Ovis aries: one gene and its partner. The protein of the gene in region 1 interacts with the protein of each later gene in a pairwise test. Links are inferred from orthologs where the notes say so. Each region holds a gene or a part of one and is shown in the gene's direction. Other genes may lie near its edges.

Region 1 (16,198 bases):
TTCTTGGGCTCCAAAATCACTGCAGATCTTGACTGCAGCCATGAAATTTAAAACATGCTTGCTCCTTGGAAGAAAAGCTATGACCAGTCTAGACAGCGTATTAAAAAGCAGAAACATTGCCAACAAATGTCCATACACTCAAAGGTATGGTTTTTCCAGTAGTCATGTATAGATGTGAGAGTTGGACAATAAGGCTGAGCATTGAAGAATTGACGCTTTTGAACTGTGGTGTTTGAGAAGACTCTTGTGGGTCCCTTGGACTGCAAGGATATCCAAGCAGTCAATCCTAAAGGAAATCAGTCCTGAATATTCATTGGAAGGGCTGATGCTGAAGCTGAAGCTCCAGTACTTTGGCCACCTGATTCGAAAAGCTGACTCATTAGAAAAGACCCTGATGTTGCAAAAGATTGAGGGCAGGAAGGAGAAGAAGGGGAAGACAGAGGATGAGATGTTTGGATGACATCACTGACTCAATGGACATGAATCTGAGCAACCTCTGGAAGATGGTGAAGGACAGGGAAGCCTGGCGTGCTGCAGTTCAAAGAGTCGGACATGACTGAGCTACTGAACAACAACCTTAGAATGCCAGCTCCCTGAAGGCAGGGCTTTGTGTTGTAAGCATGTTATCTTTAGCAACAGAACAAGGTGGTGCAAAGTAGGTGCTCAATAAATACCTGTTGAGTGACTTACTCAATAAATCAAGTCCTAGAAACATAAATTGGCCAAAGATAGGCTCACAGGATTTTAGCATGATCGCCTGCTTTGCCAAACCCTGCAGTATCCCAGTGATACTATAGTATCACTGCACTATAGTATATATCCAGCAGAGGGCGCTGCTGTCCCGTGGACTAGGCACCAGACTATGGCACCACTCCCCTATTCTCGGAGCCTCAGTGCAGATGCTCCCGCCTGCAGGAACCTCTCGCTGGAGGATACGACCTTCCTGGGCTCCTGCGACCGTCTAGGCTCCCACATTCCAACCCTGCCCACTCTAGGTCATCACATGTCTCTCTCCCTCGCTGGAACACCAGAAGGACTGACAAAGCCAAGGCACATTCCCCAGCACAGCCTGAGCACAGAGAAGGCACTGACAATGGCTGTTGACTGACTGATGGAAAATCAAACTCAAACTCACGCTCTTACTTCTCCAGGTACGTCTAGGGAACAGGGTGGAAGAGGGCAGCTGAGGCTTTGTCCCCGATTGTTCTGGCCTCAGGACACTGGTCACTGTTTCTGGAACTGCCACACGCTCACCCCAAACCAGTGCACCGAGTCAGATGGTTTAAGGCACATCCCTGCTCCGTCATTTGTTGGCTGTACAATCCCTGAGCCAGGAGCCAAGCTCTCTGGCCCTCACGGTCCTGGTCTGTAGAAATGGACTCACAAGGGTAACCTATTTTGTGAGGCTGATGTGGGGATTAATGAGTAATCCCTTTAAAAGGCAACCAAGCCTACTCATCACAACTACTGAGCCCGTGTGAGACAACTAGAATCCTTGCACTGCGATGAAAAATCATGCATGACACAACAAAAACCCAATGCAGCCAAATAAATAAATAAAAATTTAAAAAAAAGTGGTGTCAGAAGGATGCTCAGAGATAACAAAAGATTACAGAATGAAAAGTTGGTCTTTGTCTCTCCTTGATCCCCAGATACTCTTCCAAGAAGCAGACATGATTTGGTTTAGTTCAGTCACTCAGTCTTGTCCGACTCTTCGAGACCCCATGGACCACAGCACGCCAGGCCTCCCAGTCCATCACCAACTCCCAGAGTTTACCCAAACTCATCTCCATTGAGTTGGTGATGCCATCCAACCATCTCATCCGCTGTCGTCCCCTTCTCTGCCTGCCCTCAATCTTTCCTAGTGTCAGGGTCTTTTCAAATGAGTCAGCTCTTCGCATCAGGTGGCCAAAGTATTGGCATTTCAGCTTCAACAGCAGTCCTTCCAATGAACACTCAGGACTGATCTCCTTTAGGATGGACTTGTTGGATCTCCTTGCAGTCCAGGAGTCTCAGGAGTCTTCTCCAACACCACAGTTCAAAAGCATTAATTCTTCGGCTCTCAGCTTTCTTATAGTCCAACTCTTACATCCATACATGACTATTGGAAAACCATAGCCTTGACGAGACAGACCTTTGTTGGCAAAGTAATGTTTCTTCATTTTAATATGCTGTCTAGATTGGTCATGACTTTCCTTCCAAGGAGTAAGTGTCTTAATTTCAAGGCTGCAATCACCATCTGCAGTGATTTTGGCAGACATGATTACCAGTTTCTAATATCCTCCTGAGCTAGTCCACAGAAATGAATTGTGTGTGACTGAGCGTGAGTGACCATTTAAGAAAAACGCAAATGAGAAAAACCTGACCCCTGGAGGGTAATGATGGCTTTGACTTTGGGTGTGGTGACTTGCTTTGGCCAATCGCAGAGGGGCACAAGTGACAGTCCTCCCAGTTCTGAGCTTAGATCTCAGGGGCTTTGAAGATTCCCTCTTGCATCCCAATGGAGGCATGACACAGCCCCTGTGTGTTCCCTCTTACCACAACATCTCCATATTGTTAAAAGATACACTGAGGCATGTTAACATTTTATTGCGTTTACTTAAAATCCATTCAAATCAAGCAGCACCCAATCTAGCAGACAGAAAGGAGCTTCGAGGAACTAAACAAAACGGAAGACTCTTATAGGAGGAAGGGAGCAGGAACAAGAAAGTTCCTGGAACAACAAAGCAGGCAAAAAAGCAGACTGGTTATGGTGAGGTCACTTTCCTTTAGGGACAGCAGGCACCTATCTGGGCAGATTACCCAACTAGAGCTGATCTGAATGGCTGGTTTAAGATTCAGTCTCCGGGAGAGCCACAACTGTCATTAAGTCTTGATTTTATGACATGACCCAGCATTTTGAGCCTGTTGTCCCATTTTTAACATAATGGTATAAAACAAAGCTTCCCAGTCTCACCCAGCCCAAAACAACCAACTCTCAGCCAGCCCTACATCCGCTTTTAAGCTCCTGCATTTTGGGGTGATGTGTTTCACTGTATTTTTGTGGTAATAGGTTATAGAATTGTCCTCACTTAGGTGGCTTCCCTTGTGATTCAGATGGTAAAGAATATGCCTTCAATCCAGGAGACCCTGGCTTGATCCCTGGGTCAAGAAGCTCCCCTGGAGAAGGGAATAGCTGCCTACTCCAGTGTTCTTGCCTGGAGAATTCCATGGACAGAGGAGCCTGGTGGACTACAGTCCATGGGGTTAAAGTCTATGGGGTTGCATAGAGTCAGACACAGCTGAGTGACTAACACTTTCACTTTAGCAATATCCTTGGTGCTATGATCCAAGGGCTTCCCTAGTGCCTCAGTGGTAGAGAATCCGCTTGCCAATGCAGGAGACCCGGGCTTGATCCCTGGGTCTGGAAGATCCCTTGGAGGAGGAAATGGCAACCCACTCCAGCATTCTTGCCTGGAGAATCCCATGGACAGAGGAGCCTGATGGGCTAAAGTCCATGGGGTCACAAAAGAGTCAGATACGACTTAGCGACTAAACAACAACAAACAACTATGATTTTAACGTATTTTCTCATATGTTGAAATCCTAACCTTCAAAGGTGATAGTATTAATAGGTGGGGCCTTTAGGCTTCCCTGGTGGCTCAGAGGTTAAAGTGTCTGCCTCCAATGCGGGAGACCCGGGTTCCATCCCTGGGTTGGGGAGATCCCCTGGAGAAGGAAATGGCAGCCCACTCCAGTATTCTTGCCTGGAGAATCCTATGGATGGAGGAGCCTGGTAGGCTACAGTCCACGGGGTCGCAAAGAGTCGGACATGACTGAGCAACTTCACTCACTTTGGTATTAGTATGATGTGATTAGATCATGAGGGTGGAGCTCTCATGCATGGGATTAGTGCCTTTATAAGAGAGAACCCATAAAGCGCCCTTGTACCTTCTGCCTCCTGAGAATACTGCAAGAAAATCTGCAATCCCTGGCCCTTTTGCAGCCTCAGCATCCACTCTCTATAAAATAAGGCTTCAGCATAAAGAGGTAAAATGAGGAAGGGAGTGACTAACTCATCCAGTCTGCTTCTGCTACTTTCCAGCTGGGTGATTTTGGGCAAGTAACTCAGACTCTCTGACTTCACTTTCCTGCTGTGTAAAATTTTCAGGACCTACCTCATAGTACTGTTGGAAAACTAAAACTGGTTAATACACATACAGTGATTGAAACCTGAAGTCAGACTGCTAAGGTGATGAAGTGGGCAAGGGGATGTGGGCCTGAAGACCTAGGAAGGGACTCTGGGGCTGATGATATAGTCTCACCTTGCCGAGAAGTCTGGAAATTATCTTCGCCAAACACTGAACCTACTTTCAGCAGCCCTGTGCCAGTTGGATTCCCAGCTCTGCTCTTTCCCAGCTGTGCAACCTTGGACAAGTCAGTTAACCTCTCTGAGCCTTATTGTTGGTAAGGCTCAGAATGGTAAATGAGTTAGTAAATGTCAAGCAGTTAGCCTAGTACTCGACATGTAGGAGTGCTCCGAGAGTTAACTGTTATTCAGTCGCTAAGTTGTGTCCGACTCTTTGTGACCCCCACGGACTGCAGCACGCCAGGCTTCCCTGTCCTTCATTATCTCTTAGTTTGCTCAAACTCACGTCCATCGAGTAGGTGATGCCACCCAACCATCTCATCCTCTACAGCCCCCTTCTCCTCCTACCCTCAGTCTTTCCCAGAAAGTGGAGAGGCCATTTAACCTCCACGCTAACCTCCTTCTAGCATGTCCAGTTTCCCGGAGGAAGCATAGTTCTGAGAGCAAGAGGTGTTCCTTCAGCCCTTGTAACAATTTTGTAAGCATTTGGTAGGAAAGCCGTTTATGCCTAAGCTGGCCGGAGGGGTTTCCTATTGATTGATAAGGCTATTTTTTACTTAGTCAACAAACACTCATTTCTCCTGCGAGCATTGGGGAGCCATGACAGGTTCGGAGCAGGAAAGGTCAGCAGGGAAGTCGGTGGAGGGGCCAAGACTGGGTCAGGAGACCAGCGAGGAGGCTAGGGCAGGAGGGAATGTGAAAGTCCTGAGGTATGGGGTGGGGGAGGGACAAGCCTTGGAGACTTGAGGGGCTCAAGGGGTGGGAGGAAGCTATACGATAAGGGTCACAGTGCTCCCCAAGGCCAACCCCAAGGCCAACTGTTTCTGCGGGACTCAAGATAAAGGAGGTAGGGCTAATGACAGCTAGGTCCTGCTGGAGGGTTTGATTGGCTCAGCTTAGGTCACATGACTGCAAGGTCCTGCTGGAGGGTTTGATTGGCTCAGAACACGTCACATGAGCGAACCATTGCGGCAAAGGATTCTGGGAAACTGAGTTTCTACTATTTGGGCTTCTCCAAAGGAGGTGGTCAAAGGGTGGAGAACTCCCTCAATATAGAAAGGACTTCGGCTGCTGTGTTACCAAGAGGAATGTCAGATGTGCACACAAGGGGTTATTAGGGGCCCCGGGGGCTGGGCTGTGTGTGACGTGGCTGGATCCTGTCTCTCCTTTGCTCATAACCCTCAGGGACTCCCATCGGAGCCCTAGGACCCTACAGGTCTGCTCCTGGTCCCCCTCCAACCTCACATTCTTCCTCCCATTCTCCCCTCCATCTGCTCCAGCCTCCTCCCCGTCTCTCTGACATGCCAAGCCACCCCCACCTCAGGGTCTTTGCACCTGCTGTCCCCCTTCCAGACACCCACATAGCTGGCTCCCTCTGGGCTCTGCCTGGATGTCACCTCCCCAGAGAGGCCTGACCTGATCTCCTCCACTGTGTCCCGTCACTTGCATTTTTACCCTCTGTCTCTTTCCTTCAAAGCCCCATTGTCCCCAACATTAAAATGTATAACAACTTGTTCACCCTCACTAAAATATTAACTCCATAAGGACAGGGGTTTGGGTTATCTTCTGCTGGGTCCCAGTAAGTGCTTAATAAATAATTGTTGACATGATACATGCCGTAACGACTCTAGACCAGTTCCTTTTCATTCTCTGGGCCTCAGTTTCTGTAACTATGAAGGAGTGCTTTGACACACTGACCTTGCTGGGACAGGACAGTGAGGGGAGCGATCACGGACTAGGCCCCAAGGAGAAAAGCTTTCTAAATAGCCCCCCTACCACCAGGAACATTGGGAGAGGCAGAAAGGGCCCCCCTTTCTCTAGATCAGTGCTCCCTGCCTAGGAAGAAGCGGGGGAGACCCAGGAGGAGGGAGGAACTCCAGAGGGAAAGGAACATTCTCTTCTTTGTTTCAATGCTGGGTGCTCCCTGGACTTGCCCGATCCTTGCATCCTGCAGTCTTGGTGCCTTCTAGGCCGAAGACGCCGTTCCCTCTGTGACATCCCATTTCTGCAGGATCTCCTCCTCAGCCCTTGCGGTCCCTGATCGAGCCTGGATCTGAGCGCGTCCCTGACCTGAGCTGCCACCCAGCCCCCTTCTGCCGTGGCTGGGGTTGGCCTCCCCGAGCTCTCGGCTGCCCTTGTAAGGAGGCGAGGCCAAGGGACACCCGAGACGCTGGGTTATAATTAACCCGGACACGTGGCGACCTCACCCCACCAACACCTGCCCCCATGCCCCCCCAGCCCCAGCACCTCGGGTCTCCCAGAGGAGATCGCGAGCAGTGAGCTCTAAAAATAAACTCCCTTCCTGGCAGGCTGTCCCTCTCTGTCCCCTCCACAGCAGAAATCTCCCTGGGTCACTGGGCTGGTCGATTGGAGTGGAAAGGGTGACCACCACCTTCAACCTGGCCTTGAGTAAGAACCGCCCTAGCTCGGCCCAGCCTCAGTTTCCCTCCCCTGCACTTCCGAGGAGGAAAGTGCATCCCAGCACAGGGTTCTGGGGTCAGGCCGTCCCCTGTTCCCACCTTGGCCTTGGTCACACACTGCCTGTAGCTGGGTGACAGCAGGCAAGTCACACAGCCTCTCTGGGCCCTTTCCTCTGCAGGAAAACCAAAGACCTGACCTCCAGGGGCCATTGCAAGGCTTCCCCAGGGACAGAGCTCAGGACCTGCTGTGTGCTGGGGTCAAGGCCACTGGGGGCTCAGGGGAGGCCAGTGGCCTAGCGGAGGGCCAGGGGAGGGTGACTTCTACGTGCCTGGGACATTTCCTGACACTATCCCGTGGCCCCGGCGGGGCTCCAGCTGTCCCCGCCAGCCCGACTCAGCACTTGGTCGGGGGACCAGCTTGGTTGCGGGGGGGATATGGGCCCAGACCCTGGCGCGGCCCATACAAGGCCATAGGGCTGGGCGCGAGGCATGCCTGGGTTCGGGGTGGGCACGATGCCTGGGCAGTGAGGTGAAGAGCTCAGCTGCCCTCCAGCCCGCTCCCAAGGGGCAGCCCCTCCCAGCCAATCACACAGCTCAGGCCCCCCCTATATAAGGCCAGGGCTGCAGGACCTTCCTCTGGGTCAGTGTCGCCTCCGGGATACAGACAGCCCCTTCCAGCACCGCCCAGCCAGGTACTGCCCGGGGTAGGGTCCAGAATGGGGTGTCTTCCATAGGAGCCAGAGGTCGAGCTGTCTCTGGAAGGGGACTTGCATGTTGCCCCCCACATGCCCCCGTGCACAGGCAGGTCAGTGTGTGGCAAGGTGGTCCTTATGTCCGAGGGTCCCCTCCACCTACAGCCCCTGACTCCCGGCCATGCCTGTGATGGCTGGGGCACGCATCCTGGGGGGAGACCCCAGGATGGAAAGGAGCCTTGACAGTGGCCAGCTGTCGCCCCCCTGCAAGGGGCTGCGGGCCAGGCCTTGTTCACGATGGTCTGTCGCCAGAACTGGGTGCCGTAAGCCGTGGGAGGTGTCTGTGTATCACCTGTCAGGGTCTTTGCCTTAGTGACCTTGTGGTCCCATTGCCTTCTGCACAGCGTGACCTTGTGTCTGTCTGGCTTTCTGTGGCTCCTGCATGAGTCCCTGTATGCCAGTGTCCCTGAGCTGGGAGGTGTGCACATGTGGGCCCATTTACCGTGCTACCTGGGGGTGCGTGCGGGTGTGTGCAGGAGGAGCTCTGGGTTACGTCTGTTGGTGTTTCTTGGGCTCCCCGACCTTGCTTCCCTGCCCTCTCCCGGCCTGCCCCCAGGAGGGATGGGGGTGGGGACATGCTCTGAAGGGGGCTTTCTGGGCTGAAAGCCCTTGAGCCCCAAAGCCTGAATGCATGTGCTCCCAGCCACCCTGGACCACCTGTCTCTGGCCTGCTGACGTGGTGCAAGCCGAGCCCCTGGAATGTGAGGGTGGGGTGGCAGCTGGGGGTGGGGGAGAGGAGTCTGCCAGATTCTAAAAATAAATCCCCACCCTGAACATCAACTCCAAAGGCTTTCGTGGGTTCCATCCCTCTTGGCCTGATGCCTCGGCTTTCAGCTCACCCTCGTGCCCATCTCCTTCCCACCGTCCTGCCCACTTCCCATTCCTGGAGCTGGGAATGAACATCTCATCCCTACCACCACCGCTAAAGGGTCCTCCCTCTTCCTGGGTCTTGTGAATAAAATAACAACAGTACAGCAACCACCCTTCTAGGTGTGTGCGTGCTAGTTGCTTCAGACTCTTTGTGGCGCTCTGGACTGTTAGCAGACCAGGCTCTTCTGTCCAAGGGATTCTCCAGGCAAGAGTACTGGAAGGGGTTGCCATTTCCTCCGCCAGGAGATCTTCCTGATCCAAGGACTGAACTCTCATCTCTTACACCTCCTGCATTGGCAGGCAGGTTCTTTACAAGGCCCCAGCTCCATGCCAGGGCCTGTGCTCAACTGGCTTTGTGCTGGATTCAAAGAATCCTCCTGGAAACCCCAGGGGAAAAGTTCAGTTCACAGAAGACAGAGGCTCAGAAAGACTGAGCAGTTGACCTAGGGTCACACAGCCCAGAGATGGCATGGGTGAGATTTGAACCCAGCTCTGTCGACCTCAGAGGCTGAGCTGTTACTAACTGTGCCCTGCAGGACAGTTGTCAGCACACAGAGGTGGGGGCAGGCACCCTGCCCCTCCTCCCTCGACTGAGCACCCAGGAATCTTCATAGAGAGAACGGCGCTTCTCTGCTCGCACACTCATTCCCAGCAACAGCCTCCACCCTCACCAGCTCCTTGTAATTCAAAACAACAATAATAACAATAGCTAGCAAAATAATTAGTGTGTGTCGGGCACTATTTTAAGTGCTTTACGTAATGAACTCATCACATCCTTCCAGCACCTCCATGAGACGAGTGCTATTCTACCCGCATTTTACAGGTGATTACTTTGAGGCACAGAGAGGTTAAGTAACTTGCCCAAGGTCACACAGCAGAGCTGGGATTCAAAGCCAGGCTGCCTGATTCTAGAACCTATACTCTTATCTATCAGTTATCATATCTTATCACAGGCTTGAGGGGTTCTCTCCTCCATTTTTCCAGCTGGAGAAAGTGAGGCTGTAGCAATGCTATTAGCCTAGGGTCACCAGCAGGATAAGGCAGAGCTAAGATCCCAACCCCAGACTGATGATACATCCTGTTGAGATGCAGGGGCTCAGAGAAGGGATCCCTCTGGGTCCAAGTCACACAGCCCAAGACTCAGGACTGGCTCTCAGGCCTGCCTGACCCAGAGCCTGGCTCTGCTCTCTTGCTGGTCTCCGTGGATGTGACCTAACTCCCCCCTCCACCCCTCCCCACTAGGCCCCCCACACCACCGCCACCATGCCGTTCGGTAACACCCACAACAAGCACAAGCTGAACTTCAAGGCTGAGGAGGAATACCCAGACCTCAGCAAGCACAACAACCACATGGCCAAGGCGCTGACCCTCGAGATTTACAAGAAGCTGCGGGACAAGGAGACGCCATCTGGCTTCACTCTGGATGATGTCATCCAGACAGGTGTGGACAACCCAGGTAAACCTCCTGGGGGAGCGTCCCAGGGACTGTGAGGCCGGTGTGTGTGTGGGTGGCCTGGAGGCTGCCTGCCAGGCCTCAGTCCCACCTCCCTGAGCCTCAGTTTTCCCATCTGTAAAGTGGGGACCATACTCATGGGGCTGCTGTGAGAAACAGATGAGTTGAATGTGTGAGGGCCTGGGACAGGGTCTGGCAGGTGGCAAACCACTTGCTAAATATGTGCAACTATCACGTGAGACTCCCCTGAGGGAAGCTCAGTTTCCTCAGGCCTCAGTTTCCTCACCTGAAAAATGGGCACCCAGGTTGGGAAAACATAGGCATGTGGAGTGGCTCCTGGCACCGAGTGGGCACTCTGACTCTGACAGGGGGTTCCTTCTCCAGGAACACCCCACCAGGGCGGGTGGAACTGGGCAGGAGACCAGCTTCTGGCCTCAGCCTCCAACTCATGACTGAGGGAAAAGGCCCTTTCTCTTCAAGCCTCTGTTTCCCTACTTGAGAAATGAGGTGTTTTGTTTTGTTTTGTTTTTTGGCCACAAGGCATGCAGGATCTTAGTTCTCCAACCAGGGATTGAACCCTGGCCCTCTGCATTGGGAGTGTTGAGTCTTAACCACTGGACCATCAGGGAAGCCCAAGAGTCTTTCAAGCCTCTTCTTATTGGTGGGGGTTAAGAGTATCTAAGGCTCTGAACTTTTTTAGGGGACGATCCCTTGATGTGGGGATTCACGCGTGGTAATATTTTTAGTAACTCGCCCCCCAGACTCTCCTTTCTCCTTTGCCCTGCACTCAACATTCCTCTCACCGCCCACCCCCAGATACCGCCTCGATCTCCCCCAGTCTCCTCTCCCCATTCCTACCCACCCTCAGCCTCCTCAGTTCTGGCCCACGGTGCTCAGTGAAATCCCTTGCACACACGCACACACGCACACACACACCCACGTGTGCACACACAGTCTACACTGGACCCAGGAGCCCAGGTCTTCCCCGAGGGTGACAAGCACCTCTGACCTCCCTTTGACCCCCCAGGTCACCCCTTCATCATGACCGTGGGCTGTGTGGCTGGTGATGAGGAGTCCTATACGGTTTTCAAGGACCTCTTTGACCCCATCATCCAGGACCGGCACGGGGGCTTCAAACCCACCGACAAGCACAAGACTGATCTCAACCATGAGAACCTCAAGGTCGGCTGCCCCAGGGGAAGGGCGGGGCGGGGTGGGGGGAGGAGACACCCAGAGAGACAGGGAGACAGACATGGAGAGAAACACAGAGGGGGATGGGAAGAAAGACGGACAGGCAGACACAGAAGATGGCCAAGGTTGGGGGAGAGAGAGAGAGGAAAGCAGGTGGAAAACATACAGGGAGTCAAGGGAGAAACAGACACAGAGATGGAGAGGGAGATAAAGATGGGGGGAAGAGAGAAAAGAGAGACAGAGCCGGGGAGGGAGGGGGAGAGAGGCCAGTGGGGAGGAAGAGCCAAAGGAAGCAGCTGAGAGCCCAAGAGAGCTGGGAGGGCCTGTGGGGGAGATTTGATTTTGGTGGGCAGGGGGCAGGGCACACAGGATGGTCCACCAAGCCCTGACTCCCCGCTGTTCCCTAGGGTGGAGACGATCTGGACCCCCACTACGTGCTCAGCAGCCGTGTCCGCACGGGCCGCAGCATCAAGGGCTATGCACTGCCCCCTCACTGCTCCCGCGGCGAGCGCCGGGCCGTGGAGAAACTCTCCGTGGAAGGTGAGAGCCCCCACCCCAGGTCTGGACCCCCTTGTGCCCCCATTTGCCAAAACACTGCAAGAACTTGATAATCACAGGTGCTTGGTGAGTGACAGCTGGCAGTATTACCCCTGGGGGAGGTCTAAGGGATGCTGTCAAGATTTGACACCCAACTGCGCCAGGGTCCTGACCTTCATCCATCTATTCATCCATCCACCTATCCACCAAGCAAACATTTACGGTTGTTCTGGCCCTGTGTGGGGAGCTGGGGTCCCCATGGTGAATAAGATGGACCAAGGTCACTGCTCTCGCAGAGCTGTCAGCCTGGTGGGGAGATAAGAGGAAACACTGGAACCAACAAAAGAATACATCCTCCCCAAATGCCCTGAAGCCAAGAAACAAGGGTTTTGGCACAGAATGACTGTGGGTAGCTATGCTGGAAAGGAGTTGAGACATGATTGACAAGAAGGAGCCAACCTTGGGAAGAAATCTAGGCAGGTGAACAGCAAGTGCAAAGGTCCTGGGGTGGGATGGTATGTTGGAGGAATAGCAAGGAGACCAGTGTTGCTGGAGCTGAGTGGGTGATGGGGAGAGGGGAGGAAGTGAGGCCAGAGGGGTGTTGGGATAGCCAGGTTGTCCAGAGCTTTGTGGGCTGCTGGGAGGACTCTGGCTTTGACCCTGTGGGAAGAGGACACTGTGGGAGAGTGGTGAGTAGAGAAGGGACATGCTCAGACTTACATGGATCCCCCTGGTGGGGAACAGTCGGTGGGCAGCGGTAGGAGAGGCTGAGAAGGGCAACTGCAGGGGTCCACGCGGGGCTGGGGAGTGAGGGGAGCAGTGGGATGGGGAGAAAGAATGGGTGTGTTTGGAGGTAGAAGCATTAGGGCTGGCAGGCAGTGTCATTCTGCTAAATATTTAACAATTGGCTCTAAAAAAAAAAAAAGCAGCAGCAGCCTTGATTTGCTGCCAGCAACTGCCAATTTCTCTGGTGTAAATTCTCCTACAGAGGCCAATTTTAAGCCAACCACGAGACATCATACAGGGATGGGCAATGGGGGGAGATGTGCAGCAGCATGTCATTATGTAGAATTTCCACCATGAAGATACAACAGGTGACTTCAAGAACATAGAAAACAGTAAGTGTAGTAAAGTAATTGGCAAGTGATAGTTCTGAGTACTCACTACCTTCATTTCAAACACTGGATTGGCCAAAAAGTTCATTCTGAAAGATGTTATAGGAAAACTCAATTTTTTTGGCTGACCCAATATAGTTTATTTATTTGTTTTTGTAATTTATTTTTAACAATATAGTATGTAGTATATGATATAGAACATATTATATAGGATATTATACAAATATGTACAACATATTTAAAAATATGTGTATTATAGAAATACATTATACACATATTTGTCATGTCTTATGACGATATGAATATATACAAATGCATATATGTATTATATATTTATTATATATATAATATACATGTGTGTGTGTATGCTCAACTCCTCAGTCATGCCTGACTCTGCAAACCCATGGTGTAGCCTTCCAGGCTTCTCTGTCCATGAGATTTTACCAGCAAGAATACTGGAGTGGGTTGCCATTTCCTTCTCCAACACTTAATACATACTTTGTATTATGAATACCTATGAATATATACAAATACTATATATACTATAATATTGTTCACTGATGGCTCCCAGATGCCTGAGACTGACTCTGTCCCTACCAGCCAGGAGGAGTGAGCAGCAGCACACTGCCGCCTGCAGATAGTCTGACTGGACGTGAGAACTGGTGGCAGGCAAGGGAGAGTCCATGCTTTTGGTCTTGAGCACACAGTGTGGGTGCTCCCCGGCCTGGGCAGACGGCGGAGGAGCATGTTTTTTTTTGGGGGTGGTTAGACACCTTTAGAACCTCTGCAGGGTCAAGGCCTAGGCCCCCGAGGGACAGCAGTGTGGGGTCCCCAGGGCCTGTGCACCCCCCTTGTAGGGCAGGCTGTTGACCCCTCCTTCCTGTGGCCCCTCACCAGCCCTCAACAGCCTGACGGGCGAGTTCAAGGGGAAATACTACCCTCTGAAGAGCATGACGGAGCAGGAGCAGCAGCAGCTCATCGATGACCACTTCCTGTTCGACAAGCCCGTGTCCCCGCTGCTGCTGGCTTCAGGAATGGCCCGAGACTGGCCTGATGCCCGCGGTATCTGGTGAGGCCCCTTGCCCCATGCCCCCCTTCTGCCCCGCCTCCTCTAGTCGTCCCACAACCCTCCACCAGAGTCAAGACCACTACAGCAATTCTCCAGGGTCATCTTGCCCTCCGCTCCTGCCTTCCCTGTGGTCTGCATGTCACATTTTAAAAAGCTTGAAATTCAGATTTGAACCAGACTCCTTAGGTTCAAATCCCAGGGCTGCCATTTACTAGCTGTGTGATCTTGGGCACGTAATTTAATGTTTCTCTGCCCCAAATCTCCATCTATAAAATGGGATCGTGATAATCCATAGCTCTTGGGGTTCTTATGAGGATTAATGAACTAATTTATGCAAAGTGTTGAGAAAAGTGTCTGGTATATAGTAAGTATCCATACTGGCCATTGGCATGATATTTATTGCTAATTATTGTTGTTAGCTGGGCTTTCTAGTAATTTTTTAATCCCTGATTCTGATGAAAGTGAAAGTTCCTCATTCGTGTCCACTCTTTGTGACCCTATGGACTGGAATTCTCCAGGCCAGACTACTAGAGTGGGTAGCTTTTCCCTTCTCCAGGGGATCTTCCCAACCCAGGGACAGAACCCCAGGTCTCCCACATTGTAGGCGGATTCTTTACCAGCTGAGCCACAAGGGAAGCCCAGGAATACTGGAGTGGGTAGCCTATCCCTTCTCCAGAGGATCCTCCCGACCCAGGAATCTAACCTGGGTCTCTTGCATTGCAGGCGTATTCTTTACCAACTGACCTATCAGGGAAAATGCCCCCGCCTTCATTCTGATAGTCAAAGGTTTTAAAAGGTTTTGAGAACCTCGGTTTCAAACAATTTGGAGAGTATAGGTTGTAAAATTTTAAGTGTTTTCAGGTTCCACTAATGTCAGATTTTGTGATTCAATGGTTTCAAACATTTCCAGATCCTAAAGTTTTCCAGTCTAAGACTCCTTCTGCGATGCCACAATGTCATGGAAGGTTTATCAACTCTGATTCTCGGTTTCCGTTTTTCAGCGATTCTGATATTCTAAGATTCTATAATATTGTGCAAAGAATTAAGACCCTGAAAGCCACTGATCCCACGATTCAAGATTTCACGGGTCCTGTGACATTTAAAGGTGTAAGCTCCTGAGACTGAGATGCTCAGGCCTCGGGCCCTTTAGGCCCGCTGCCCCCTAGCGGTGGCCGTGTGTTTGCAAGAGGGAGGGGAACCGGGTTCCCGCGGAGCTGGTTCCCTGACCTTTTGCTGCGCCCGATGCTAGGCACAATGACAACAAGAGCTTCCTGGTGTGGGTGAACGAGGAGGACCACCTCCGAGTCATCTCCATGGAGAAGGGGGGCAACATGAAGGAGGTTTTCCGCCGCTTCTGCGTGGGGCTGCAGAAGGTGGGTGCCCGCCCTCGTGTGACTCCAAGTGACCGCCCCCCCAGCCGCTTTCCCGGGCCCCGCCCCTCGGAACCCGGCTCCTCCCCGCACCGAAGCCACTCCCCTCAGCGGTGCTCCTCCCTCGCTTTCCAAAGCCCCGCCCTTTGGAAAACCGGCCCCACCCCTATCCTCAAGCCCCGCGGACAAGAACCGGCCTTCAAGGCATCCTCAAGCCCAGCCCCGTCAGAATCCAGCCATCACTTGTGCGGTCGGGCCCCTGCCCCAAGAATCTCGTGTCTCCAGGTTTTCCAGACCCGCCCTCTCGGAGTCCTACCACCACTGACATTCTCACCCCCTGTCCCTCGGAGCCCTGCCCCGGTTGTGGGTGCATTTGGGGGCACCCACAGGGCTGATCCCGGGTCCTCTCCCCCTACCTCAGATTGAGGAGATATTCAAGAAGGCCGGCCACCCGTTCATGTGGAACGAGCACCTGGGCTACGTGCTCACCTGCCCATCTAACCTGGGCACCGGGCTGCGGGGAGGCGTGCATGTCAAGTTGGCGCACTTGAGCAAGCATCCCAAGTTCGAGGAGATCCTCACTCGCCTGCGCCTGCAGAAGCGAGGCACAGGTACGGCCCAAGTTCCCTCCTGCGGCTTCCAGCGCTGGCCCTTAGCGATGGCTGAAGGGAAGCGGGGGCATCCCCACGGGTTCTGGGGGGCGGCAAGGGCTGCTCCTCTGTGAGTTTCAGTCCTTCCTCTGAAAATAGGCTTCAGCACGCCTTATCTCAGAGAAGTCCATATACCATCATGGTTATATGGTTAATATACACTGTGTATGTCCCTGGGCGCCTAGGGGCCTCACTTTCCCATCTGTAAAGGGGAAGATGGTCAGGATTCGACCCCAGGCAGCCCGGCTCCTGAGCTCAACTCCGTTACCCACAGTGTTGGATGTTTGAGGGGTGAGATACCTAAAGCCAGCCCGAGAATAGACAGACGCTCAGGAAACTGCATGAATTTAACACAGTAGGCATTCACCCAGGACGTCCGCCTGCGCGGTTGGCACGGCGGCCCGCGTTCCAGGCCCCGCTCAA
Region 2 (16,511 bases), on another chromosome or scaffold:
GGTTTTAGTGACTGTTTTCAGTGTACTTTTAGTACATCTTGACGGGGTTTTTTTGTTTGTGTCTTTGCTTGATTTAATGTAGCAATCCTATTACAAAAGTATTTTTTTAATTGAAGTATAGTTGATTTACAGTGTCGTGTTTGTTTCTGATGAACAGCAGAGTGACCCAGTTATATATAGCCCTTGTTTTCTACTTTCTTTTCCATTATGCTTTACTACAGGATGTTGAATATAGTTCCCTGTGCTATACAGTAGGTCCTTGTTTATCTATTTTATCTATAGTAGTTTGTATCTGCTAATCCCAAACTCCTACTTTATCTGTGCCCCCTCTTTGGTAAACCATAAGTTCTCTATGCCTATGAGTCTGTTTCTGTTTTGTAAGTTCATTTGTCACATTTTAGATTCCACATTTAAGTAATATCATGGTATTTGTGTTTCTGTGTCTGCTTAGTATGATAATCTGTAGGCTCATTGATGTGGCTGCAAATGGCATTATTTCATTCTTTTTTGTGACTGAGTAATATTCAATTGTGTATGTATACCACATCTTTGCTATGCATTTGTCTGTTGATGGATATTTGGGTTGCTTCCATGTCTTGGCTGTTGTGAATACTACTGCTGTGAACACAGGGATACATGTGTATTTTCAGATTAGAGTTTGCTTCAGATATGTGCCCAGGAGTGGCATTTCTGGATCATATGGCAAGTCTAGTTTTAGTTTTTTAAGGAACCTACATACTGTTCTCCATGGTGGTGGCACTAATGTACGTTCCCACCAACAGTGGAGTGGGGGTTCCCTTTTCTCCACGCCCTCTCCAGCATTTGTTTTTTGTAGATTTTTTTGATGATGGCCATTCTGACTTGTGTGAGGTGGTACCTGTTATAGTTGTGATTTGCATTTCTCTAACAATTAGTGATGTTGAGCATCTTTTCATGTGCCTGTTGACTGTGTATGTATTCTTTGGAGAAATGTCTATTTAGGATTTAGGTGTTCTGCTTATTTTTTGATTGGGTTGTTTGTAGTTTTTGGTGTTGAGCTGCATGAGCTGTTTGTATATTTTGGAAATTAAGCCCTTGTCAGTTGCATCATTTGTGATTATTTTTTCCCAGTCTATAGGTGGTTTTTTCATTTTGTTTATGGTTTCCTTTGCTATGCAAAAGCTTATAAAATGGCAACCCACTCCAGTGTTCTTGCCTGGAGAATCCCAGGGACGGCAGAGCCTGGTGGGCTGCCATCTATGGAATCGCACACAGAGTCGGACACAACTGAAGCGATTTAGCAGCAGCAGCAGCAGCAGCAGCAGGTCTCATTTGCTTCTTTTTGTTACAAATGTATTTTTTGATTAATGTTCTCCCCACAAACTATTTTTGTAATGATTTTCTAAGTTTCAAACTGTTTGAAACTATCCTTTAAAATGGTGGTTTCATATTTCTTAGCTATTTCCATGTTGTTGGATATTTATTTATTTCTAATGTCTTGCTATTATAAATAATATGATTGTGAACTTCATTTTGATAAATCTTAAAACAGTTGAAGTATTTCTTAGATTTTCAGAAGTGGTATTTCCCAAGAAAACTATTTAAAATAATAATATAAAATACTTTAAAATACCTACATAAAGAATCATTTTAAGGGAAAATTATTTTCATAACCAAACAAATACCACATATTATCTGTTCAAATGCCATCTGTCTCTACAGAGATATCTGATATATTCATCTGTATACCATGTGCCTATCATCTGTCTATCCATCCATCATTTATCTGACTGTATCCATCATCTGCCCTGACACATTATTTTAAAAAGTAAGCTTGCATGTGTCACTTGAAGATGCAAACCTCAACTCTCTGAAAAGCCCGTAAATTATTTAAAAGGTTGGGTACATCATGCAACATCTCTAAGTTTTTGTTCATATTTTATTAAGGAACCGTCTCTCCCAAAGTAATTCTTTTCCCTGATATTTCTAATATTGCCATGTCAAAAAAACCTGAGGTTTAAAGATAATTCTTTTTTCAATAACACTGCTCATCGCTGAGACGATTGTATGCGCTTCCCACATAGAGAACAGCTGACCCTTCAGAGACAGTGCCTGAAGTTGTCATGGTGAAGGCTGAATCATTGTCAGGGAAGGGCACTCCGTGCACTGGAGGACCTCTCATTTACTCCAATCCCAAATTCTTGCCAGGGGCTACTTGCATGGACATTTGCATGTGAAATATCAGTACATCATCTTTCTTTAGCCGAGTCTGTACCAGGACGAAGGCAGGGGTCAGACAGGGTCACGGTCACAATAGCAGCTTCATCTTTTAACATGAGTGTAACCTGTAGAAAATGATATACTACATTTTAGTTTTCATTAATTAATTTCCTCTCCTGCCATCGTTATGTCTTGAAAATCTTTCAACTTGCAAAAAACTTGCAAGAATAATACAATGAATATTTGTCCATCTATCACTTCACTTTGTCAGTTGATAAGATTTGCCACATTTGCTTATGCCTTTTTGTACGTATATATGAACATATGTATGTATATGTGTATATATATATATACATATTTGTATGAATGTGTGTATACACACATATATAAGTAGGCCCATGAATATTGAATACCTATACACATTTTTTTTTAAATGAACCCTTTGTGAGTAAACTGTGAGTTTTATAATTCTTCACCAGGGCTGATTAGGAGGAGGTGAGTGAGGCAAAAAATTTAAGGGGGCACCGAAAAATGTTATCAGGAGAAAAATCGTGCAGTATTAACAAAATTCAAATGTTAAGGGAAAAACGTCCCCAATGACCAAAATATCAAAACATTTTAAGAAAGACAGGCTGTGGTTTGTTTTACAAACCTGCATAACAGTGTAATGAAAGCAATGTTCCCAATCAGCCCAAGGTCCTGGGACATGGGGCTGCTGGGTTTATGAGGAATGACAGTGGCTTGTGAACAGAATGGGCAGTGCTGACTTTACATATACTACTTTTTCTTTAAAAAAAAAAATTATTAGGCTGCCCCAGGTTTTAGTTGTGGCATGTGGGATCTTCATTCCCTGACCAGAAATCAAACTTGGGCTCCCTACATTGGGAGGACAGAGTCTTAACTACTGGACCACCAAGGAAGTCCCAAGTGTTTCTATTTTGTGCAAAATATGTACATAGGGACACACGTTTCTCCCCTTGGATCACGCTTCCACAAGGCTCTGCACTGAGTACTTCAAGTAAGCATGTCCTAAGAACACAGCTTCTTTGACATAAGCGTGGGCGGTGCAGTGATCACACGCAGGAAGCTTGACATTGATGCACTTGGAGTATCTGATATACATCTATATTTAAATTTCTGTAGTTGTAGCACTGATGTCTTTTATGCCTTATCCTCCCTAATCAGGATCCAATCAAGGATCATCACATTTACTGATCAAGTCTCTTCATTCTCCTGTCGTTTAGAAAGCCTCCCCCACCACTTCTGGGTTTTATGCCACCCCACTGGCATTTTTGAAGAGTTCAACCTCATTGTTATGAAGACTCTCAGTTTTGATTTGCCCGATTGTTTGCTCAAGAATACTGCATTATGCCAGATTTTCAAAAAAACACATCCTTGTTTGAATCTTACTGCACTGATCTATGAAGTAAGATTGAGTGACAGCTTTCTTTTTCTTTTTTTTTTTTTTAGTTTTTTATTTTTTAAATTTTAAAATCTTTAATTCTTACATGCATTCCCAAACATGAACCCCCCTCCCACCTCCCTCCCCATAACATCTTTCTGGGTCATCCCCATGCACCAGCCCCAAGCATGCTGCATCCTGCGTCAGACATAGACTGGCGATTCAATTCACATGATAGTATACATGTTAGAATGTCATTCTCCCAAATCATCCCACCCTCTCCCTCTCCCTCTGAGTCCAAAAGTCCGTTATACACATCTGTGTCTCTTTCCCTGTCTTGCATACAGGGTCGTCATTGCCATCTTCCTAAATTCCATATATATGTGTTAGTATACTGTATTGGTGTTTTTCTTTCTGGCTTACTTCACTCTGTATAATCGGCTCCAGTTTCATCCATCTCATCAGAACTGATTCAAATGAATTCTTTTTCATGGCTGAGTAATACTCCATTGTGTATATGTACCACAGCTTTCTTATCCATTCATCTGCTGATGGACATCTAGGTTGTTTCCATGTCCTGGCTATTATAAACAGTGCTGCGATGAACATTGGGGTACATGTGTCTCTTTCAATTCTGGTTTCCTCGGTGTGTATGCCCAGCAGTGGGATTGCTGGGTCATAAGGTAGTTCTATTTGCAATTTTTTAAGGAATCTCCATACTGTTCTCCATAGTGGCTGTACTAGTTTGCATTCCCACCAACAGTGTAGGAGGGTTCCCTTGAGTGACAGCTTTCTAAAGTAACAAAAGCAGCCAGCTCAGTGTGCAGAGCCAATTAGGCGGGCACAACTAAGACAGGACTTTTTTCAGGAAAAGCAGATCACTCTGAATGACCAGAGGAGAGATGCACCTTTTAGGCTTTAAAGGTTTTGTACTTGAAAACTTGCCGGCTGGAATGACAAGAGGTTTCAGCTCTGGGGCCGACTTTGACTGATTGAAGGTGACTTCCAAGTCTCCCCAAGGTGTCAGGAGGAGTCTTGGAATCCCATGAGTGATGTCAGCCACAGATCTATAGGTGAGGGGTGGGGCAGAGTCAGTGGCCAATATTAAGTCTGCGTTTGATAAAGAATGATTATGGCCTTACTGCTGATACAGGCCATAATTCTTTTTTCTTACCTAAGCTGGGCTGAGTTTCCTGAACATGCAGACAGACACAGAGACCAACTCAAATCTGGTAGATTGTTTTGCTCTTGCAGCTTCTTGTAAGCCAAGCTGTTTCTCTTTAATGAAAGCTCATATACATGTAGTTCAACTTTATCCACATGTGGATCCTTAAAAATACATCAACTTCCCTCGTAATATTTTTCTAATTCCTGACTAGAACTGTTGTTAAATAGTTTAAAAACAAAACAACAAACAGTTCCCATCTTCCAGTGTCCACAGGTGTTGATCAGCATTATGAGAAGATAAAATGGTGATTAATTCCTTCCCAGATGCTAAGGCAACAACCTTCAAATCTTCTTTATTGTCGTTTTGGACAATCAAGTTAACTTTGAACACAGAGAAACCTTATCTTCTTGGAATTTAATGAAAAGTAAATAAAGAAGCTTTACTATGAAGATTTTGCTCAGAGAATCGGATGCTTTCCAGCTCTCCTGCTGCACTGTTTAACTCCTTGACAGCCAGTCTACATTGGGAGTAAATTTCTCCCTTTGCCAAATACAAGGTTCATTTTTCTTCAGATCTTTCCTGATACAATAGTGATCAATGTATATATGCTTATGGCATTCTCAGTTAATTCTACAAATAGAGCTGGAGGGCAATTTCAGTTCAGTTTGGTTCAGTAGTTCAATTGTGTCCAACTCTTTGCGACCCCATAAACAGCAGCACGCCAGGCTTCCCTGTCCATCACCAACTCCCGGAGTTCACTCAGACTCATGTCCATTGAGTCCGTGATGCCATCCAGCCATCTCATCCTCTGTCATCCCCTTCTCCTGCCCTCAAATCTTTCCTAGCGTCAGGGGCTTATCCAATGAGTCAGCTCTTTGCATCAGGTGGCCTAAGTATTGGAGTTTCAGCTTCAACATCAGTCCTTCCAATGAACATCCAGGACTGATCTCCTTTAGGATGGACTGATTGGATCTCCTTGCGGTCCAAGGGACTCTCAAGAGTCTTCTCCAACACCACAGTTCAAAAGTACCAATTCTTCGGTGCTCAGCTTTCTTTATAGTCCAACTCTCACATCCATACATGACCACTGGAAAAACCATAGCCTTGACTAGACTTACCGTTGTTGATGAAGTAATGTCTCTGCTTTCTAATATGCTGTCTAGGTTGGTCACAATTTTCCTTCTAAGGAGTAAGTGTCTTTTAATTTCATGGCTGCAATCACCATCTGCAGTGATTTTGGAGCCCCTCCCCCCCACAAAAAAAAGTCAGCCACTGTTTCCCCATCTGCTTGCCATGAAGTGATGGGACCGGATGCTATGATCTTAGTTTTCTGAATGTTGAGCTTTAAGCCAACTTTTTCACTCTCCTCTTTCACTTTCATCAAGAAGCTCTTTGGTTCTTCTTCACTTTCTGCCATAGGGTGGTGTCATCCACATATCTGAGGTTATTGATAATATTTCTCCCAGCAATCTTGATTCCAGCTTGTGCTTCATCCAGCCCAGCATTTTGCATGAGGTACTCTGCATATAAGTTAAATAAGCAGGGTGACAATATACAGCCTTGACGTACTCCTTTTCCTATTTGGAACCACTCTGTAGTTCCATGTCCAGTTCTAACTGTTGCTTCCTGACTTGCAAACAGGTTTCTCAAGAGTCAGGTCAGGTGGTCTGGTATTCCCATCTCTTTGAGAATTGTCCAGTTTGTTATGAGCCACACAGTCAAAGGCTTTGGCATAGTCAATAAAGCAAAAATAGATGTTTTTTCTGGAATTCTCTTGCTTTTTCCATGATCCAGCAGATGTTGGCAATTTGATCTCTGGTTCCTCTGCCTTTTCTAAAACCAGCTTGAACATTTGGAAGTTCACTGTTCACGTATTGCTGAAGCCTGGCTTGGAGAATTTTGAGCATTACTTTACTAGCATGTGAGATGAGTGCAATTGTGCAGTTAGTTTGAACATTCTTTGGCATTGCCTTTCTTTGGGATTGGAATGAAAACTGACCTTTTCCAGTCCTGTGGCCACTGCTGAGTTTTCCAAATTTGCTGACATATTGAGTGCAGCACTTTCTCAGCATCATCTTTCAGGATTTGAAATAGCTCCATTGGAATTCCATCACCTCCACTAGGTTTGTTCGTAGTGATGCTTTCTAAGGCCCACTTGACTTCATTTTCCAGGATGTCTGGATCTAGGTGAGTGGCAATTTGGCAGTATTTAAATTTTAAGTGAACTGATTAATAATTGTAGATTCATATGCATTTTCCAGAAATAATACAGAAAGGGCTCCTATAGCTTGGCCCAGTTTCCCCCAATGATAACTTTGTGCAAAACTGTAGTACAATATCACAACCAGGAAGTTAACATTGAGACCATCCATTGATCTCATTCGGGATTCTCGTTTGACTTGTACCCACTCCTGTGTGTTTTAGTTCTGTAGAAAAGATCACATGTGTATGAGCACACTCTTAGGAATCTCGCCTCTGGAAATAATTGCATATTGTCACTGAGCCAAATTTGGGTCCACTCAGTGTGGTAAAGTCTATTGACACTGCGTTGTGACGAAGGAACATATAGCATTTATTACAGAATACCAAGCAAGGAGAATGGGCAGCTCATGCTCAAATGACCCAAACTCTCCAATGGCCTTCAGGGGAGGGGTTATAAAGGCAGTGTGAGTGAGGGAGCTGCAGGTTGTGTGATGAGCTTGCGCACAGTTCTTGGATTGGTTGGCATCATGATGACGTTTCAAGCATCATCAACCTTTGGGTTTTGACCAGTCTGAGGTCTACGTGCTTGTGGTCATCAGTTTTCATCTGGGTGGTCTGCTTCCTGTAAAAACAGCTTATGCATGTGTGTCAGCCCTTTGTATCTTTTAGGGAACTGAGAGTTCAGTTAGTTTGCTATGTGGCAGATTTATAGTCTAAATTGTTACCATTTCCCCAGCCTAACAGCTACTCTTTGTTTCTAGTCTTCACCTTTGCTACTTGCTAATTCATGTTGGGGAGGCCTGGGAAAGTAAAGCAAAAAGCCTTTTACTTAAAAACAGGGACACAGAGGCTTGTGTTGGGCTCCAGTTCCCCCTTTTTCTTTAATAGTCCTCTGTCTTGAGGGGCACAGGTTCAGGACAAGAAAGGGAATATACTTTCAAATAGAGAGGTTAATCATAAACTTGGGGAACAGAGTTTAAGGGGGACTCAGTTTCAATATGTGCATGAAGCCATATGTAGAAATATATGAAGTGCAGTATTTTTGCAGTAGTAAAAGAAAATGGTAACACTCTGCCTCCATCATTAGGGGAATAATGAAATATTTTTGGTGTGAAATACTTAAGGAATGCTCTGCTGTAGTGAATAAAGAAAAGGACAGAGCCATTGAGTTATTCTGCTGAAATGAAAAGATCCCTAAGACAAAATAAGTATAAAAAGTGTTTGTGTTAATATAATTACAATCATGTGGAAAAGGTACAGCAATAAATGTGTATCCCCATGTATGCAGGAAAATGCATTTTAAAATATGCAGGACATTCCTCACACTGTAAACAGTGGCTCCCACATCGGTCAACTGAGGCTTGGTGAATCTGAAACAGTAAGGCTGTATCTTTGACATTAAAAATAATTGGTGATCACTGCACAAGCAGACTATGCTTGAGACTAACCCAGAGCCTTCCCGAATGGGGAAGGAAAGTCCCTTTCTACTTGGAGAGGGAATGGGAATCCAGGGGTGGCCATCAGCCTGAGCCAGCACCCAAGGGTATGGGGAAGCTGGGTGTATTTGAAAGGACACGGACAAAACCCCAAATGTTTTGTAAAGGCAAACGGGGAAAACTTCACACAGTAAAACTTTTTATAACTAATCATTGAAAGATAGCAGCTCACCTCCAGGCCCCCTTGCTGCCCAGCAATCCATTTTTCCCCCAATAGCAACCCTGAATTATTTATTTAGAAGTTAAAATATAATGTGTGGAGGAGGGTGAGCAGGACACTTCGTGCAACCCGTGCAGTCAGAAGGTAGAAACTAGAGGTTCTTTCCAAACGTGCATTTTTGTAACATATAGACACATTTTCCCATAAACTCCCAGAAAAATTGAAACCACATGTGCAGATGGTCAGGGCGTGCTGTGTAAGTTGCTGTGCAAGCAATTCAGCAGGGCTGCAGCAAAACCAGCTCTCTCAGCTCCTGGGTTCTGGGGCTTGTCTCAACAGCAAGAAACCCCCAAACAACAAGTGGATCCAGCAGGCAAACAATGTTGCAGCAGGCTAGCGGTCTCCTCCCCCCACCCTGTTCCCTGGGCTCTCCCAAAGTTACAGACTGTGAGTTTCCTTCCTGATAAACCTCAAGGCTTCCTCACTGATTGGTCTCAGTTTTGGAAAGGACGTGACATCAGCAACTTTGCAGACTTTAGGCTGGGGGGCTGTTGTGGGCTTTGGGCAGTCTCCAGCCTGTGAGGTAAAACGTGCGTGTGTGCGTGTGTGTGTGTGTGTCCCCGTGTGCATGTGCCTGTTTGACCACAGGTAGTACTCAGATTACCCTGCCTGTCCTGTTCTCTGCCATCTGACCAGGAGGGTGCCGCTCAGCCACTCACAGCCCTGGAATTTCCCAGGAGCCGGGGGTGCATGGAATTTGGACTTTCCTGAACAGCTGAAGTGGAGTGTGGAGCTTGACCAGCCCAGGAGAGCACCATGGATGGTGAACCACCAGGCAGAAACGGCAGCAAGCCCCCGGACATGAGGCTCTTTTTCAACCCATTGATGGGGGGTGAGTTTAGGGGCTGTGTTGTCAGCCTGCTGGGGAGGTCTGTTAATGTGCTTAGGAGAGAAGAGAGACGAGGGTGGGGTGATTTCAGTGGCTTCATCTGAAATGTGGCCACGGGGTAGTTACTGGACAGATGTCCATGACTTGCTGGTATCTGCCCTTCACATGGTTGTTCCAGAATGTGTACACCTCTCTCTGCAGAGTGCTATGGACCATGTCAAGCCACTGATCACAGTTTATTCCCCAGGAGAAATGTCAGCTGTAAAGTTATTTTTTGTGGGTCAAATATATCATTGATATTCCATTGGAGGTTTGAAAGTCACTTCTAAATAGGAAGGAATATCTTCACTGCTAAAACATTTATTAAAAGGTCTTAGGTATGTGGCATTTGGGTGGGGCTGGGTTTATAAATGATGTTCAGAAATTGAGCCCTGATTGATTCACTTTAAAAGGAGCCTTTTTTTTTTTTTAACCTTTGGAGCAGTGTTTTAGAGGTTGATTCTCCCCTGTCTCATGGTGTCTTTGTTAATGCATAGAGTCCTGTACCTCTGGGAAACTGTCATTTCCTGTGAGCACTCAGCAGGTACCTGCTGACTGAAAGGATTCTGGAAAATGGGTCTAGACATTAGAGGAGGCTGATTATATGATTATATTCAGCACCCTGGGAGGCTGCCCAGAACACTTGCTGGTCAAAGGGACAAAAAGCAGGGACCCTAACATCAGCTAGGACTGGCTACTCTCCTACTGCTTAGGTGCTGAAGGGGAAAACACACACACAAAGAAATACAAAATTGTTCCCTCTGGCTCATGGAGCAGACAGGACTGTTCAGGTTAGTTGTTTGTGTATCCACTTTGGCCTCATAAAAGGAGCAGAGTCCTCAACAGCAAGTAGAATTTGGATCTCCCAAGGCAGACCTGGATTAATCAGAGATACTGAGCGTGAACTTGGAGCAGTAGAAAGCAGAGTAGCACCATAAATAACTTTTAAAATGGGGTTGATAAATATATTTTTAAAGCAGCAAACCAATCAACATGGGGAAGAATCAGTAATGTGGTTGACTTCTGCATGATGATTTTACAGCTGAGTTTATTTTCATTTCTACCTGAGAGAGGGGCACTAGCCACTTTTCACTGTTCAGGGTTTCTAAAGGTTCTAATCCAGGAATTCCCTGGCAGTTCAGTGGTTAGGACTCCATGCTTCCACTGCAGGGGGCATAGGTTCGATCCCTGGTTGGGGAACTAAGATCCTGCGTGCTGTGCCACTGTGGCCAAAAATATAAATAAATAAAGGTCCTAATCCAACCCTGGTTGGGGCTGGCTGGGTGGGTGTAGGTGGGCAGGCGCTGTCACAGCTGGACTGCAGTGTCTTAAGGAGTCTAATGAGAACACTGGAGAGATGAAATCTCAAAATGTAGCTTCAGAAGCTAGGTGGATGAGTTTAGCCTTCATGAGGCAGGGAACTGGGAGCCATTGATGGTTCTGGAGTGGAAGCTTAGCCATAATAAAGACTGTAAGTAAGTTAATGTGGTAGCCATAGTCAGGATAGATTGTGGAGAATTTATGAGAAATTATTGTACTAAACTCGTATACATCAGTATCACCTGGATGGATTGTTAAAATGCTGATGGCTGGGCTCCATCACCTCAGATACTAGGTCTGGGGTGGGGCCTGGAAATCTGTATAACAAGCTCCCGGGTAATGCTGATGGTGCTGTTTGGGGACAATACCTTGAGAACCACTGCGTGAAGCTGATATCTGGATCAAGCTTCAGAAATGACAGAGAAAGGGAAAATATGGCTTGTATTTTCAGAGGAAAGAGAAATCAAGCTCTGTTGCTTGATTAGCTCAGCTGGTAAAGAATCCACCTGCCATGCAGAGACCCCAGTTCGATTCCTGGGAAGAATCCCCTGGAGAAGGGCTAGGCTACCCACTGTAATATTCTTGGGCTTTCCTAGTGGCTCACATGGTAAAGAATCCGCCTGCAAAGCAGGAGACCTGGGTTCGATTCCCAGATTGGGAAGATCCTGTGGAGGACGGCATGGCAACCTGCTCCAGTATTCTGGCCTGGAGAATCCCATGGTCAGAGGAGCCTGGAGGGCTACAGTTCATGAGCTTGCAAAGGATAGGACACGACAGAGCGACTAAGCAGAGCACAAAGGAGAGAAGGCAGCCAGAAGTGCAACGTTTTCAAAGCCGAGGGTAATGTCAGCTCAGAGGGCTGGATGAGAGAAAAGTCGTGAAGGGGAGCTGGCCTGGGGATCAGAGTGAGATAGGGAGGAGAAGGACTTGTGTTTGAACGTGAATGTGCCAATGGCTGTGCCCTGGGCTCAGCATGAAGGTGCGGGACAGAGGCTGGGCAATGAATTCAGGTTGGGAATCAGGCCTCAGGCTGTTCTGCAGAGGGGCTGGGCTGAAATCCTGGAGAAGGAGACATTGTCTGATGGCTCAGTCCAAGGGTGGAGCCCTGGGACAGACTTCCATTTGAGGACGGAGAACCAGTAAATTGGATAGAGAGGCAGGAAGAGACTCTGCCGCTGCTACTGCTAAGTCGCTTCAGTCGTGTCCGACTCTGTGCGATCCTATAGACGGCGGCCCAGCAGGCTCCCCAGTTCCTGGGATTCTCCAGGCAAGAACACTGGAGTGGGTTGCCATTTCCTTCTCCAGTGCATGAAAGTGAAAAGGGAAAGTGAAGTCGCTCAGTTGTTTCCGACTAGTAGCGACCCCATGGACTGCAGCCTACCAGGCTCCTCTGTCCATGGGATTTTCCAGGCAAGAGTACTGGAGTGGGGTGCCATTGCCTTCTCCGGAAGAGACTCAGATGTTGTCATTTCACAGGGACTAAAGGAAGAGAAGTTTCCCAAGAGGCAGTAGTCACAAGGGTGGGCGCCAGGACCCCTCTGCTTGCCCAATTCCTCCTTCTCTACATCTGACCCACAGACTACTGCCCCTTCGAAGCCACTGCCCTCACAAAGCCCTCCCAGACTTTCTCCCAGCCCTTACCCAAGTGGAGGCTCGCTCTCCCTACTGTGCATCAGCCCTGCCCCTTGGGCAGAATTTCACTGATAGCTGGATTGCATTTATTTATGCTTTGAAAGCCTTGACCTTGGTGAAGTGTGGAATGTGAAACACTCAGAATGTTGTTTCCAGGCCTTGATGAGAAACTCAACTCAGGTGAAGCAAATCCCCTGGCACTGGACCAGGGCAAGAGGTCAGTGGGGTGTGGTTGCCCTTGGGGAGCTTTGCTGCTCCCACCTGCACTGGCAGGCTTTTCTTGGCTGCTGCCTCTGGAGGAAGGGAGGAAGGGATACACAGATGGCAACAAAATATTTATAGAGATGGAATTCTTGACCCTTCTGCCCCAGGAGTGGGAATAGAATGTCCTTCTTTTCCCCTGAAAATACCTTGTTTTTGATCACATTGTGTCCCTCCCCAAAACATAAGCTGAAGTCCTAACCCCCCGGACCTCAGGTTGCGACCTGGTTAGAAACAGAGTCATCGCAGGTGTAATCAGTTAAGGCGCGGTCACAGTGGAGGAGGAAGGCCCTCCCCATGACTGGTCCCTGGAAGAAGAGCAGAGGAGGCAGAGAGGGATGAAGCCTTGTGGCAGCAGAGCCAGAGGTTGTAAAGATGCATCTGATGAGCCAAGAAAGCAAAGACGGACACCCCACACCAGAGGCTAGAAGAGGCGAGGAAGGACTTCTTCTCTTAGGGTGGATTTTTAGCTGTTGGGCCACCTCAACAGGGGCCATTTTTCTGGGGGAAACTTGCCTGATCCGACAGGATGGGTTGAGGGGGTGAGGTCTCTATGGAAGAGGCCCCTGGAGAGAGAGACGCAGACAGGAGAGGCAGGGTGATGGAACTGGGAGAAAGATTTGCAGTAGACAGGACTGATGTGCCCGAGAGTTGCCTTGTTGGGCCTTTGTCTCTTTGTGACTGTGAGCCTCTGTTTCTTTGTCCTGTTTTGATTTGTCCTGCCATCTAACCGAGGTCCACAGTCACTGTCAACACAACACCCAGATCCTCCCCAGTGTTGGTACTCACCACTGAACCTACTGAAGGCATGTGCTCCCACTGTCTCTGAGCAACGCAGCCCTTCTTCCCCTCCTTGCCCTTGCAAAATGTTTCCCAGGAGGAACAGTGGATACTCTTCCCAGCATTCACTGCAGGCTTTCAGAGCTTCATGAATAATAGCTCTTTTCAGAATGTACTAATTAGTACATTTCCAATCTCTTCTGAATAATGGAAATTTTAAAAATCATTCCAGAAATGGCAATAAAGATGAAATGGCAGCTTTGCTAATGTGCTGCAGGGTTTGATGGAGACTCAATTTAAAAGAAAGGTAAGTTGAATAGCACTAATTGGAGGACTTGTGGCATTGTTTCATGAGGAGAGCTCCTTGCCTCATGTCAACCACGAGCTACACTAGTGAATCTGTGGCATTGCCAGTGACCCCATTTGGCATCTATTTCTTGGCAGTAAAACCAACAGTTCTTAGCTGATAAAGGACTGGGGAAAAATTCTTAATATATACCGAGCACTTAAATGATGTATTGTATAGATATAATAGCCCTTGAGTTTCCAGGGGTCAGTGGAAAAGGGAATGTGACTTTGAGTTTTCCTTCCATCCATAGCCACCTCCTGTGAGCAGCATCCGTGTTCTGGCAGGAATAGTCCCCTTTCCTGCTTATTCTACTCTCTCCCAGTTGTCAGCAGGAAGGCGGGCAAAGCTGCTTTGGGGTTTAATTGCTCATGTGTTAAGCTTGTAGCTCATTGCCTGCTTGTGATGTGGGCTCTGGAAACAGCTCCTGGATATCTCATCAGTGTTTTTAAGAGCTAAAGAGAGTGTTAGACCAATCCATGTTTCAAATTAGAGCATTTGCTAAATGAACTATGCATAAAGTCCATGCTCTCAATGCTAGAAAAATGTCAACCTTTCACAATTTTAACTCTGTAGATAATCAAGTGTTGAGAGACCAGCTGAGGCTCAAGTCTTTGTATATGTTTGAGATGACCTATACAAGAACCTAAAGTTTGCTTCTGGCCTGGAGTACTGGCATGCTCTGGTAGATTCACCTAATCCTAGTCTGAAAGGACTTTAACTTAGGAAGGGAATCTCATGTACTGCTGTTGGTAGTATAGCGTGGTGCAGCTGCTTTGGAAAGTAGTCTGGCAGTTTCTCAAAAGGCTAAACACTGGGTTACCACATTATATAGCAATTCCATTCCTGGGTGTCTATCCAAGAGAATTGAAAACATATATCCACTCAAAAATTAGTACATGAAGGTTTAGAGCAGAATTATTAGTAACAGCCAAGAAGTGGAAGCAACACAAATGTCTATGAGCTTTTTGGTCTATCTATCTATACAAATATTATTTGGCCATAAAAAAGGATGAAGTGCTGATACATACTCCAATGTGCATGGACCTTGAAACATTCACAAAGGACCACAGGTTGCATGATTCCATTTGTGTGAAAAGTCCAAAAAAACCCCCACATCCATAGAGAAAGAAAGTAGATCAATGGTTGCGAGGGGTTGGGGGAAGTGACTGCTGCTGGGCAAGGGGTTTCTTTTTGGGATATTGGAAATGTTCTAAAATTATGATGATAGATGTACAACTCTGAAATCTACTGAAAACCACTGAATTGTGTATTTGAAAGGGGTATATGTGAGTGATAAATCATCAAAGCTGGACAATACCCTGTGCTTCTTGAAGACACAGATAGTCTCCACTTTGTAAATATTGGGTTGGCCAGAAAGTTCGTTTGTGTTTTTTTTGTGATGTATGGAAAAACCAGAACAAATTTTATGGCCAACCCAATAATACTATGTGCTAATGCATGGGTACAAAACCTCAAGTAGTCTTTTTTTTTAATGTACTTTTTTCTTTTTCTTTTTTTATGTACTTCTTCAAGTACATAATTCTTTATTTACCCTAAGTAAAAGGAGTCATGCTTCCGTGATGAATGCAAACAAGTAAAGCCCATTTTGGTCTACTCCTGATAAGATAATTGCATCACTTTCATGAAATCTAAACAGAGTTACAGTTTAGGACCCAAATTACCTGTCTGGCTGTCAACTCTGATTATCTGAGTTAATTTTAAGAAAGGTTGAGGAGTGTGGCAGTGATATTTCTTAGCAGCTGAGAACTGGGAAGGAAAAAAATTGGCGTAATCCTCAGAAACATGGTGATCCAACTGATTTTTGAGATCTTTCTCAGCTTGTGGCTCTTCTCACTCAACAGTGTGTATGGATGGTATTTTGCCTTTGAACCAACAGGGTAGAATGAGTTATCCTTTTAATTCTAATTTGGGGATCAGTCTTTCGGTATCTGCCATCTGCACTGTAGACGCCAAGCCCTGGAAGCAGTAGTGTTTCTCCTGAGAGCATTAGGACCCTCAGAGAATGGTGCAAGGACTCTAATTTTCTACCGAGCATGAGTTTTTGGAAGTTAGGGAAAGTCATTTCCCTGACCTTGGGCACAATGATGAGCCCAGAAGGGAAGCCTTGGATGCATGGTGTGGAAGCAGGTTCATTCAGCTTGCTCTTCTCTATTAAGAGCCTTGTCAATCCATCTGGAAGAATGGTAATGTGCTCACTGGGACAGATTTTCCAGGACACTGATAGCTCCAGGTGGCAGGCCTACGTCAGCCAACATGTTAAGTCCAAAGTGTTCTAGCCTCCTCCTCGATGGGCTGGCGTTGGCCAGGCTTTAGTAACTGCCTTGCTTCTCCAGGTCTTCGGACTTTTAGGAGATACAGCCCATTCACAAAGTGTGACTGATGTCAGACCACCCTACCTTGCTGGTGTGCCGTGTGTTTGCTCAATCAGGCAGAGCCTGAGCTGTGGCAAGCGCAGACTAGCCGCCTCATGCTCTGACTTCCTGCCTTTGTTCTAGAAGCCAGATGCAGCTGGAGATGAGAAAAATTCAGGTCTATGCCAAATTCAGGGCACATCCAGTCAACGAGAAAGAGGGGGAAGCATTTAGTGTGTTGA

What was found.
Region 2: the proteins of CKM (region 1) and ASB9 interact in binary tests that used the Homo sapiens proteins (3 or more experiments, as listed by UniProt). The two-hybrid records come from large-scale screens. The link is inferred for Ovis aries from reciprocal best matches to the Homo sapiens genes CKM and ASB9.

What each region holds. Positions count from the first base shown.
Region 1 is NC_056067.1:52,742,510-52,758,707, reverse strand, and holds the start of CKM (creatine kinase M-type), read left to right. Parts: upstream 1-7,406; 5' UTR 7,407-7,460; exon of another isoform or gene 7,461-7,573; intron 7,574-9,632; 5' UTR 9,633-9,653; coding exon 9,654-9,846; intron 9,847-10,870; coding exon 10,871-11,025; intron 11,026-11,441; coding exon 11,442-11,574; intron 11,575-13,583; coding exon 13,584-13,755; intron 13,756-15,004; coding exon 15,005-15,128; intron 15,129-15,546; coding exon 15,547-15,736; intron 15,737-16,198. UniProt on the Homo sapiens protein: Reversibly catalyzes the transfer of phosphate between ATP and various phosphogens (e.g. creatine phosphate).
Region 2 is NC_056080.1:13,454,122-13,470,632, reverse strand, and holds the start of ASB9 (ankyrin repeat and SOCS box protein 9), read left to right. Parts: upstream 1-9,189; 5' UTR 9,190-9,443; coding exon 9,444-9,519; intron 9,520-16,511. UniProt on the Homo sapiens protein: Substrate-recognition component of a cullin-5-RING E3 ubiquitin-protein ligase complex (ECS complex, also named CRL5 complex), which mediates the ubiquitination and subsequent proteasomal degradation of target proteins.